Arabidopsis thaliana: one gene and its partner. The protein of the gene in region 2 interacts with the protein of the main gene of each other region in a pairwise test. Each region holds a gene or a part of one and is shown on either strand. Other genes may lie near its edges.

Region 1 (4,910 bases), on a different chromosome or scaffold from region 2:
TTTAAAAACCGGTTTCTTGTTGATGTTTAGATCATTTGGTGGGATGTCAAACAAGCGATTAAAGCCGGACTTTCAACGGTCTCTGCAACGGATGCCATCTTCGGGAAGATACTCTTAAAAATAAAACCATGTGAAGAACGAACCACATTCTACATTAATTCCATTCTCTTGGTAAAAACAGCTACCAAGACGAATTCTTTGTCAAGTTCCTTTCTTCGCCAAATGATGATCAAGACAGCGAGAGTTGCCTCTCTTGTATTGATGTAACAACAATTTGAGGCGGTTCGCGATTTTTGTATCATAGAAACTCTTGAGTTGAAGCATCAGCTCGAGTGGCCACAAAGATAAGACCTAAGGATGAACGTTTAGCTTGTTCTCAGGCTGTTAAGTTTCCACAAAGCTTTTTCTGCAGTTTCCATAGTTAACAGTCCTTGTTTTCACTACAACATTAAGAGCTTGATTTAATATTGTAAATTTTTACTGTTCTACTAGTAAGTGTTTAGGTTTTGACTGATTCAAAGGTTATGAGAAAAGTTACATAAACTATGTGTTGGAACTGTGGAATCAACTTATCCTTTATTGAGAAACATCAACTAAACTTTGCACAAGAGTATAACCCAAAAATAAAAACACAATAAGACCAGTTTATATCACAGAACAAGCTCAGCTTTAAACAAATTACTGTAAAAAGCTTCACAGCATTAAAATAAAACACAAAACTCTCTAGCTCCTGACTCAGACTTCCTCCTCTTCAGTTACGGACTCAGAGAAACTTGCTTCAGATTTAATATACTTGTACCATTTGGCACAAATCAAGTAAACCACGAAATCAGCAGCGGTTAGACCAGCTAAAAGGAAGTAGAATCTCTCCAAGTGTCCTTTGTTGAGATTTTCAGGAATCCAGCCATGCACATCATCTGTTGTAGAGATCTTCATGACAATGGAAACTAACAAACTGCTTACATAGTTCCCAAGAGATATTGAAGCCATACATAGCGCGCTTGCAAAGCTCTTTAGCCCGGTTGGTGCTTGGCTGTTGAAGAACTCGAGTTGACCAACGTACATGAACACTTCTGATGCACCTATCAACATGTACTGAGGTACTTGCCAAAAAATGCTCAAAGTGCTGGAGCTTGAGATCGAAGTAGCACTTTCCGGTTCCTTATTTTTCAGTCTGTGTATCTCTACGATTCCTGCGGAAATCATCGCCATTATCGCAATCACAAGCCCAATCCCCATCCTCTGAAGCTCAGTGAGACCTTTGTTGCGTTCTGTTTTGTTAAGTCTTGCAAAGAGTGGATCAAGAAACCGCCTGTATGCGAAGATGAAGAAGGCGACACTGAGAATGTCGAAACTAGACATGCTTGAAGCTGGAATCCGGAAGTTTTTGATGTTTGTCTTCATCGCTGCTCCTTGCACAACGAACAGTGAAGCCATTTGGGTGAAAACCACAGAGTAGAGGATGGTGCAGAGCCAGATTGGTAAGAGTCTTAATACACATTTCACTTCTTCGACTTGAGTCACCGAGCAGAGCCTCCATGGATCGTATTTCGATCCGCTCTCTACTTTCTCAGCCTCATCATCAGGTGTAACAATAGCAGCTCTATCCAAGAATCTGTAGAAAATAATAGAGAGAGAGTTAACACTGATCTTGACGATGGTTTCTGAGATTATAACAGAACTTTTAATTGGTTATCTTACCTGAAGCCTTTGGTATGAAGAATCTTCTTATCTCCAGTGTATTGAGTCTCAGAATCATAGAGATTCAACTCTTCATGGTGCACATCAATCTTAGCCTTTCTTGTTGCAGCAACCAACACTTGGCAGAATCTAGACCAAGGACTCTCTCTAGGCGTAAAGTGTCGGTACTTTGGCGTGCCAATCAAGAAAAGCACTAACCCCGCAAAAGCAGAGCCAGCAGACGCCCAAAATCCAAGCGGCCATTCCCCTTGATCCTCAAAGTAACCCAAGACAGTATTTGAGAAGAGCGATCCAAGATTCAGAGCCAAGTAAAAGTAACTGAAAAACGCGATTTTCGAGTGTCCTTCAACGGAATCCTCCGCATCAAACTGATCAGCTCCAAAAGTAGCTATGTTCGGCTGATAACCACCATACCCTAACGCGATTAGATACACCGACAGATAAAACAGAACCGTCTTAAACGTCGAATGAGGCTTACACGGCGAATCTTCAACTCCACAACCACTTGGTTCAAGCAATAACGCACCAGTAGATAAAGATAACATCATCAACCCCTATAATCCATTAAAACATGTTAACTTATTGTTAAAGAAACAAACCCTAGAAAAAGACAGAGCAGTGTTGAAGACACTTACTGCAACGAAACTTGCTTGAAAGATAGCACAAGTCTTGTAACGTCCCCAATAAGAGTCACTGAGGAAAGCACCAAGCAAAGAGAAGATATAGACAGTTCCTGTCCATTTACTAACATTATTAGCCGCTTCTGCATTGTCTTGTCCCATCACTCGAGTCAGAAACAGAACCAAATTCACTCCTACACCGAAGAACGCAAGCGTAGCTAGTCCTTGATTCACTATATCAACCAAAAACCCATTTCTTTAGAATCCAAAACACAACACTTTAAGACAAAGAACAGTGGTATATATAGAGAGAAAGAGAGAGAGAATCATTACCTAGAATGAGAATAGCAGTGAGCCATTTGCCGGTATTAGCTCGGATAGCTGGATTGCCGTGACGATCAACGCTACCGTCTTGAGTGCAAACCTCAAACTGTCTAACTTTTTGATCCATAGATTCGATTTGGTGTAGAGATATACTCAAAAAGATTCCTTATCTTGATGATCCTAATGATTATGATGATTATCCAGAGACCGGTTAAAGAGGAAACCGGTGGTTAGAGAACAAAAGGATCGAAAACTCAGGAATCGAGGAAAGTGAAGAAGTGAAAAGAGAAAGATATTTAATAGTGATATTGAGAGTTGCATTAAAAGTGTGAAGAAGAGAGCTTATATTTATAGAGAGCTCAGAAATTGAGTCAGAGAACTCAGAAGAGATCCTTTCTTTGACGTCTCTTTCTTTCTATGGTGTTTAATTTAATCAATTTAATTGTAAAGGTTTTGAAACGGGCTGCTAAAATATATGTTCGGTGGATTTTTCTCGACAGAATTTTGTTATCTCAATAATAATCATATGCTATTTTAATTTTTTAACTAGTTTTTATGAATAAAAATTAAAAGAGATAAATCTAAATGATCTTTTTCGTTCTAAAATATTTATTTAATACGAAAAGTAGTTATGTAAAAATTTTAATTTGAAGAGAATCTGACTTTGTGGGAAAAAAACGGAAATGCCACTGTTATATGCGAATAAAACCATAAATTACGGTATAGGAACTTAAAACGTAGTATTGAAAATTGGCATCCCTAAAATCTATGAAGAAGGAGAAACACCTGGTTAAAGGTAAGCCAAGCGAATGTGTGACCAGTTACACCTGGAGGGCTGCTGGAAGAGACTGATAAAATCAAAAAACATGAGGGAAAATAAAAAGAGTAAAAACCCCAAATAATTGTTCTTAAATAGGAAAAAAAAAAGAGGGGAAAAAGTGAAAGTAAGAAAGTTCCCCACTAAAACAGGATTTGGTGTCTCTTTCAAGCACGCTACGCTCGTGTGTAGCTGTATTCGATTACGACTTTCCTCACTCCTAACTTATATTATAATTGGTTCTATTCTTAATCCATGTTTAAGCCCTAATTTAAGTCTAAATCTTTGATACGTTTTGGTAATTTTCTTTTTGTTGTGTTAGATCCTTTTCTGTGTCTCACATATACTATGTTTTTATCTTTCTTTCTGATTTTTTTTTGTGAACAGAATTGTTTATCTTTCAAAAATAGGATTATATTTGATTTCATATTTGGATGGATAAATACAAACATGTTTGGTATTTGGCAATCCAAACTTTAATTTATACCAATTCGCTGATTGGTTAATTATGAAACCTAGATAAGTGAAAATATGAAATACATCTAAATCTTCTATAGTATTTTACGCAAATCTTATCTGTCGAATTAATGTCTAGATTCATTGAAGCTTGGGGATATTTACAAATTCCAGCTTTTTTACCTAAGAAAGTTAGACCTAAATCTGAATCGAACAATCTAAATTAATACACATTGTGTCAAAAAAATTTGGATCGAAGTTTTAATGATCACGAAAGAACTATGTTCTAGACTTCTAGTAATGTCCTATAACTTTGTTACGTCCTACTAAATTAAGTTAATTAACCATTCACAAGATACTACGTGCATCTTGGTTAAGAACAAGTTTAGGTTTAAAAAAAAAAAATGTTTAGGTTTAAATACTAAATGTAGAACAGTGGTAGTTTTGAACGGACATACCTTGATTTAGGTTTTGATATGGATGATCGGCAGTTGAAGTGTTAATATCGCCTGATTAAAATCCAATTTGTCCACGACAATTTACTAAGCAATACAAAGTCGTTCTCTTTATATATATATTTGTGTTGCATAAATCAAAATTCAATCATAACAACAAATAAAAATATATAATCAAAATCCAACACCTTATTTTAATAGGACTCAAATATGAGTTATAAATTCCTGATTCCCTGAGGATTTAGAGTTACAGTATATATATGAAATATTTCACTTAAGTTTATTTACTCTTCTCATTAGAGTACTTTTCAATTTAAAGTCTATTTACTCTCATGATTAGAATTAGTTCATGAAATCTTTACAAGTCTCAATGATGTAATATAACTATTTGGTTTATCGTGTCTTTGAACTTAAAATCAGACTAATATCTAAATATCTCTAAATCATCACGTAAAGTATGTGATGCGTATACTTGTATGTGAACATGGTAAATGGTTGTGCTGTATTGGAAGGAAAGTTTGGACTATACCATTTGAA
Region 2 (5,522 bases):
CAGTTCATTGATTGACCTTAGGATCCAAAAGATTGGTTTAGGAACTTAAAAGTAGTGTATGGTTGTTTGGAAACCGTGAATATTTCTTGGTTTAAGCTTCTAGTGTTAACAGTTTCCTCTGGGATTACTGGTTGCTTAAGGACTTATAGAAAGATCTTGTATGTTGTTGTTTAATTGTGAAAGTGGTTTCTGTATGTAGATTCACACAACAAGCCAGTCTTCCCCAATGCAAGCATACAACCAGGCCATCAATGACTTGGACAAGGAGCTCGACTACTTGAAGAACCAGTTTGAGGTACATAAGTTTCTCTCTTCGGATATACTTATCTGATTATGTGGTTAATAAGCTAGACGAATATCAAATGCTATTGATGTTGTTTGATGTACCTGGTCTTATGGTATACCCTTCTGTGTTTTCAGGCAGAGGTGGCCAAGTTTTCGAATCAGTTTTAAGGAACTTGGAGTTCTCCATCAGCACATCGGGGAAAACGTTTTACATTGTCTTTTGCTAAGCACCAATCAAGACTAATAATGAGCTTGGGAAATTTTCCCTAGTTATGCTTTGTATAAATCAAAAACAAATCGGCCTGTAACTTCTTTTAACTCTATGTTTCAACACCATTTCAGGATGCTATGAAGTAATGCTTAGATTACCTCTTCTTTTTACCATTCTATCTACATAAACCGCTTAATGTTTGAACTATTGTACAAAGTCTCTTTAAGAGTTGTGATGGTGAAGCTACTACTCTTCCCAAGCTACTAAGTAAAGTGCATTTGTACAGATATTCACAGTATAGTGAAGTCATCATGAAGCCCTTCTAGCTGACCCCGAGTACGCTGCTGCTGAATAATTAACATTGATGTGTTGTGTGAGAAATCTGATCCTGAAAGAACGTCACCTATGGGACCAAGCTCTGGACATTGCTGCCAGTCGTTGAGGCCGGTGGTTAACCCACTGCTCGCTCTTCCCCCTCCTCTTCCTACAATCACCAGCCCATACTCTCCATCTAGTGATTTAAGAGCTGTGAAAGTCTCAGAGGAGTTGGTGAGATGCTTCTCCATGTAAGACACTCTTCCACCTCCAGCTATGTATCTTTCGTAGAACTCAGCAAAACATTCATCATCAAGCTTCATTTCCTCCTCTTGATCTACCACACTCGCTCTGTTCAGGATGCTGCTTCGTTTTTGTGCGTTTTGAGAGCTCTTGTCTTCCAAGAAACGTATAACCTTTAATTTCACAGCAGGATGTCGAGCCACTTGTGCAGCGAAGGCTAGTGCCTCTCGGTCGTCTCTGCCACCTATGAATATTATAGCAATGCCCATGGACGCTCCTGGTCTCCATGCCTCTTCTGTTTGCCCGAACGACCTATCCACAAGAATTCCTACTGAACATGGTGCGTTCTTCAGAATCTGCACACACAAATGCCAAATTATCTCTCTGAGAACTGAAAGAAACAGAGTATTACTGAGATGGAACAATTACCTTGCGGTTCACATGACGGAACCCAGCATGACCAGCATCGAGAGTACCATCAGGATTCAGCCGTTTATGGAACGGTAGAATTATAATGGAAACCATAAGTTCATCAGCCAAACCGCAGACGTCATGGGCCATGGTCACAAACGTGGACAACGCCAGCATCCGCCGCACTGTCACACCTTGTCCATTGCGGAGCTCTCCGTACCCATTCACAGCTGCCGTTATACTCTCTCTCATTTCCGTCACCGACCTATCCGTTACCGTCACTGAATCATTACTCTGACCGGCTCCTCCGCCCTTCTTCAGCGTGGCTGCAATCTCATCAGTCAACTCCACCATGTCAGTCGCATAGAATATGGAACCCGGCTCACGGCCACCATGGCAGATCTCCATAACGTTGAGCGTAGAACCAATGTTGTGGGGACCGTGGAGACCAATCAAGATCCGAAGTTCAGTTGTTGGATCGAGCCATTGAAGCGCCATGATGTGCACAGGCACCCGCTTTCTAGCGCGTTTGATGATGTCCATGACCACGAATGGGGAGTAGACCACCGTGAAGACAATGATAAATATGATCAATGCACCGGTCGTACTTTTCACCCTGTTAGTCTGCATTTGCATCAAACGAAAAAGAAAGAGAGTAAAGATCTTACTTTGATGATAGCTTAAATAACAAAACATAAAGAGAAAGCTTGATGGTACCCGAATGGCTAAAGCTGCCAAGTAGACATGAAAATGGCCTTTAGTGGTCAAAAGCAGTCCTAAGGATGCGGTTTCCGGGACATGATAACCGAGTAGTAAACCACACAAGACTGTTCCGGTGACTTTTCCGGCTATAACAGTGCCAAGAAGAGAAAAGAATCTTACCCACGCCATTTTGTCAGTAATGTCAAAGTTTCTCATGTGGATTATGAATCCAACCCAGAAGAAGAAGATAGGGTAGAAGACCGTGCTGAGCAAGTAATTGATTTTGTTGATGATCCATTTCGACATTCTTCCTTTGTTTGGAAGGAAGAGACCAGCCGTGAATGCACTGAGAATTGGGTTGTACATTGATTCAGGTGGCCAAGTTGGGAAACTGCAGATCAAGACGACAAATGCCAGGGACATAACAAGGTGTGACCCCTTGAGTGGTTTACCTTCAGGGTTCTCGTTGTTGACCCAATTAAGAAAGATTGGGGATACAATGGAAGTGAAAGTGACCTGAGCGAGGAAGAGGCAAAACATGAGGAGGGCTCTGAAGAATCTGTGGAGAGGACGAGCGAGAGGTTTCTCCGTAGGGAAGAAAATGAAGCCGAAGCAGTAAAGCAAGGTAGAGATCATGTCCGTATGGACACCTGCGGCTGATGCAAGTTTTCCAAGATCGGATTTTCTGATTTTGAGATTGGCGATGACGCGGGTTAGGATAGGAGAACCGGTGCTTGAGGCCATGAGGGAGAGGGCGAGGGAGAAAATGTAAGGAGAAGTTTTGGTATAGTGGAGGAAAGGAGTTGTGACAAAGGCGAGAACAAAGGTCGTGATCATGCTTGTGTAGGCAATGAATGCATCTTTGGTTGGTGGTCTGAGAAGAACGCTTGGATTCATCTCTAGACCCATGACAAACATATGGCAGATCATTCCAAATTCTATTATGTTGTTGAGGGTTATAGAGTAAGGCCCCGAGAATGCCCCTCGAAACCTTGGAATATTACCTAGAATTAGCCCTATCTGATGCATAGAAAATTTGAGTTAATATAGAAATCAAAAGAGATAGACAAAGAACAAAAAGATATTTGACATACAGCAAAGTCGGTGGTGAGGTAAGGTTGGCCTAGAGGCTTCATGAGATAATGGAGGAGAGTTCGGACGACGAAAATGGCAATGAATACAAGAATCTTCAATGCCTCTTCTGGCCTGTCTAGGTTAAGGTACCATTTGTCTCCACAAACGTTTTTTGTTGTAGTTGAATTCATCTTTTCTCTCTGTAGTTGCCTTATTCGTTCTTAGGGCTTATTGTAACGTGGGAGATGAAGAAAAGCTTTTCGATTTGTATGTGTGTTTCTTTTTTTCTTTTTTTCTGACTTTACAATTTGGTTTAGGGGTTTGAAAATGAAAGGATGTGATTGTTTTTACTCAGAAAATGGTGGAGACACTTGTGGATCCCTTTATTCACGTTCCTTCTCTCCCCATTATTCACCATTGACCATTCATGAAACAAAGATGACAAAGTTCAGACAAAATGTAAAATACACTACTTTAATATTTAACTACAATATTCTAGCTAACGATATAGTATTCTTTTATATAACATGAAAACGTAAAATGTTTGTTTGGGAGATGGACATTCAGTTTTAGTAAATTATCCGCTCAAATAACTCTCCTAGTGAACAACAAAGACGCAGCTCAAGCCTCAAGGCTTAAATAACAGAATTTATTTATAGGGGCTTGTTTTGACTTAAGTGAAAAGTTGAAGTCCTTTTTTGATATTTTACCAAAATCATCAGATCTCTCGATGGTCGTGAGTGACTTCGAAGACGACGACGACGAGTCACACTTCCCCTGAGCTTCTCGCTTCTCATACTCTGTAAGCTCACTCTCCTCTCCTCCAAATCCACAACGACGACCAAACTCTTGATTTTGTTTATACTGACTTCGACCATGTTTTTATGGGGTTTCTTCATTGAGTCTTTCTCGTCCGATTTGGTCGATCCTGGGACTTTTATATTACGATAGTGATAGTTTCTGGAAATCGAGCTAATAGTTTCTCAATTGTGCATAGTTGTTCTTACTTCTTAGTCAAGACCATTTCATTCAACCATCGTAATGAATGTCTGTGACTCTGTGTGTAGTTCAAATTCTGGGGCCAATGATTTAAACAGACATTGATTTTGGAACTCCGTGGTTCAATGCACGGCCAAGTTTATTAGAAACACTTTGGTTTGCTGGAGCTGAAACCGAATCAGTCAAGGATGGTGAGTTCCATTTTTGCATTGTGAGCCTTCTCAAAATGGTAGGTAGTCTTACCTACCTAAAGTTGATAGTAAAGCTGAGGTCTTAAATCTTGCGTTTCATGTGAACCTAATGAAAAAGAATATTTGGGAGGAAAGAAATTGAGTTTTCCTTTCTTTCTTTTGTTGCTTTAAAGCTGATTCATGCATGTTTATGTTAGTATACAGAGCTTTAAACAAGATTAAAAACTAAGGAGTGAAATGTCCTCTATGAACAGAGATACAAGTAATGGCCGGTTTAGCTATTGGTGTTTCCAGCATCAAGTCTGGTGAACGTGCGCTCTTGCATGTTTGCTGGGAATTTAGCATATAGGAGAGATGGAAACTCTTCTTTTTCCCAATGTTCCATCTATAGCGGAATTGTTAGATGACGCTGAAGTTGTTGGATTTGATGAAACAAAGGAGGAACGTTTTTTCTTTAAGATCATTTGCTGATTCTTGTTTCCTTACCTGAACACTCCACAACCAAGCTTTTATCCCAAGCTCTTTGCTTATAGCTGACTTAGAGGTTGGATTGTACAGGGAAAAGCTCGCAGTGATATGACTATGGAGGAAAGGTTTGGTGCAGCACACAGAAGGAAAATGGATGGGGCTCTCTGTTTAAGGAGGATAAATTGGAGGAGGCCAATACGAAATGGTTAGGAATCTCTCTTTCTTTCTAACAATTACGGTCAAAGTTTTGGTTTTCAAGGCATACTCAGCGACTCTGCCCGAGGCTCTTGCATCTCCTTTCGGCTCTAAAACAAAGAGCCTTAACTGGTTGATAGTGTTATCGCAATGGTTGGTTTGCCTTTTCTGCCGGAGTTAAAGCAGATAAAGAGGTATGAGAAGCTTAACAATTCAATTATATAAGACCAAAGTGAAAGATCACAACTCTCAATTCTCCTATGTCGGAATTGAATTTCTTATCTTATTACTGATTTGTGCAGAATTTACAAGGAGGAGCTAGCTTAGCTACTACCATGAAGATTTGGGGAAGCTGAGATGTTGCCAGGAGAAGTAAGCACAAACCAATAGTTGAGAGATATAAACATAAACAGCAAAAGAGAGACTCA

What was found.
Region 1: the proteins of chx28 (region 2) and NRT1.8 interact in a protein complementation assay, tested with the Arabidopsis thaliana proteins (one large-scale study listed by BioGRID).

What each region holds. Positions count from the first base shown.
Region 1 is NC_003075.7:11,516,805-11,521,714, forward strand, and holds NRT1.8 (NITRATE TRANSPORTER 1.8), read right to left. Parts: upstream 3,002-4,910; 5' UTR 2,773-3,001; coding exon 2,655-2,772; intron 2,555-2,654; coding exon 2,337-2,554; intron 2,256-2,336; coding exon 1,702-2,255; intron 1,616-1,701; coding exon 736-1,615; 3' UTR 549-735; downstream 1-548. Other genes in the region: CPL1 (C-terminal domain phosphatase-like 1), read left to right, coding at 31-118. UniProt on the Arabidopsis thaliana protein: Low-affinity nitrate transporter. Involved in nitrate removal from xylem sap. Not involved in oligopeptides transport.
Region 2 is NC_003074.8:19,313,000-19,318,521, reverse strand, and holds chx28 (cation/hydrogen exchanger 28), read right to left. Parts: upstream 3,557-5,522; 5' UTR 3,433-3,556; coding exon 3,262-3,432; intron 3,188-3,261; coding exon 2,183-3,187; intron 2,090-2,182; coding exon 1,484-2,089; intron 1,411-1,483; coding exon 787-1,410; 3' UTR 534-786; downstream 1-533. Other genes in the region: NRPB11 (DNA-directed RNA polymerase, RBP11-like protein), read left to right, coding at 22-111, 200-295, 421-453; AT3G52075 (uncharacterized protein), read left to right, coding at 5,102-5,275; AT3G52070 (RNA/RNP complex-1-interacting phosphatase), read right to left, coding at 5,425-5,522. UniProt on the Arabidopsis thaliana protein: May operate as a cation/H(+) antiporter.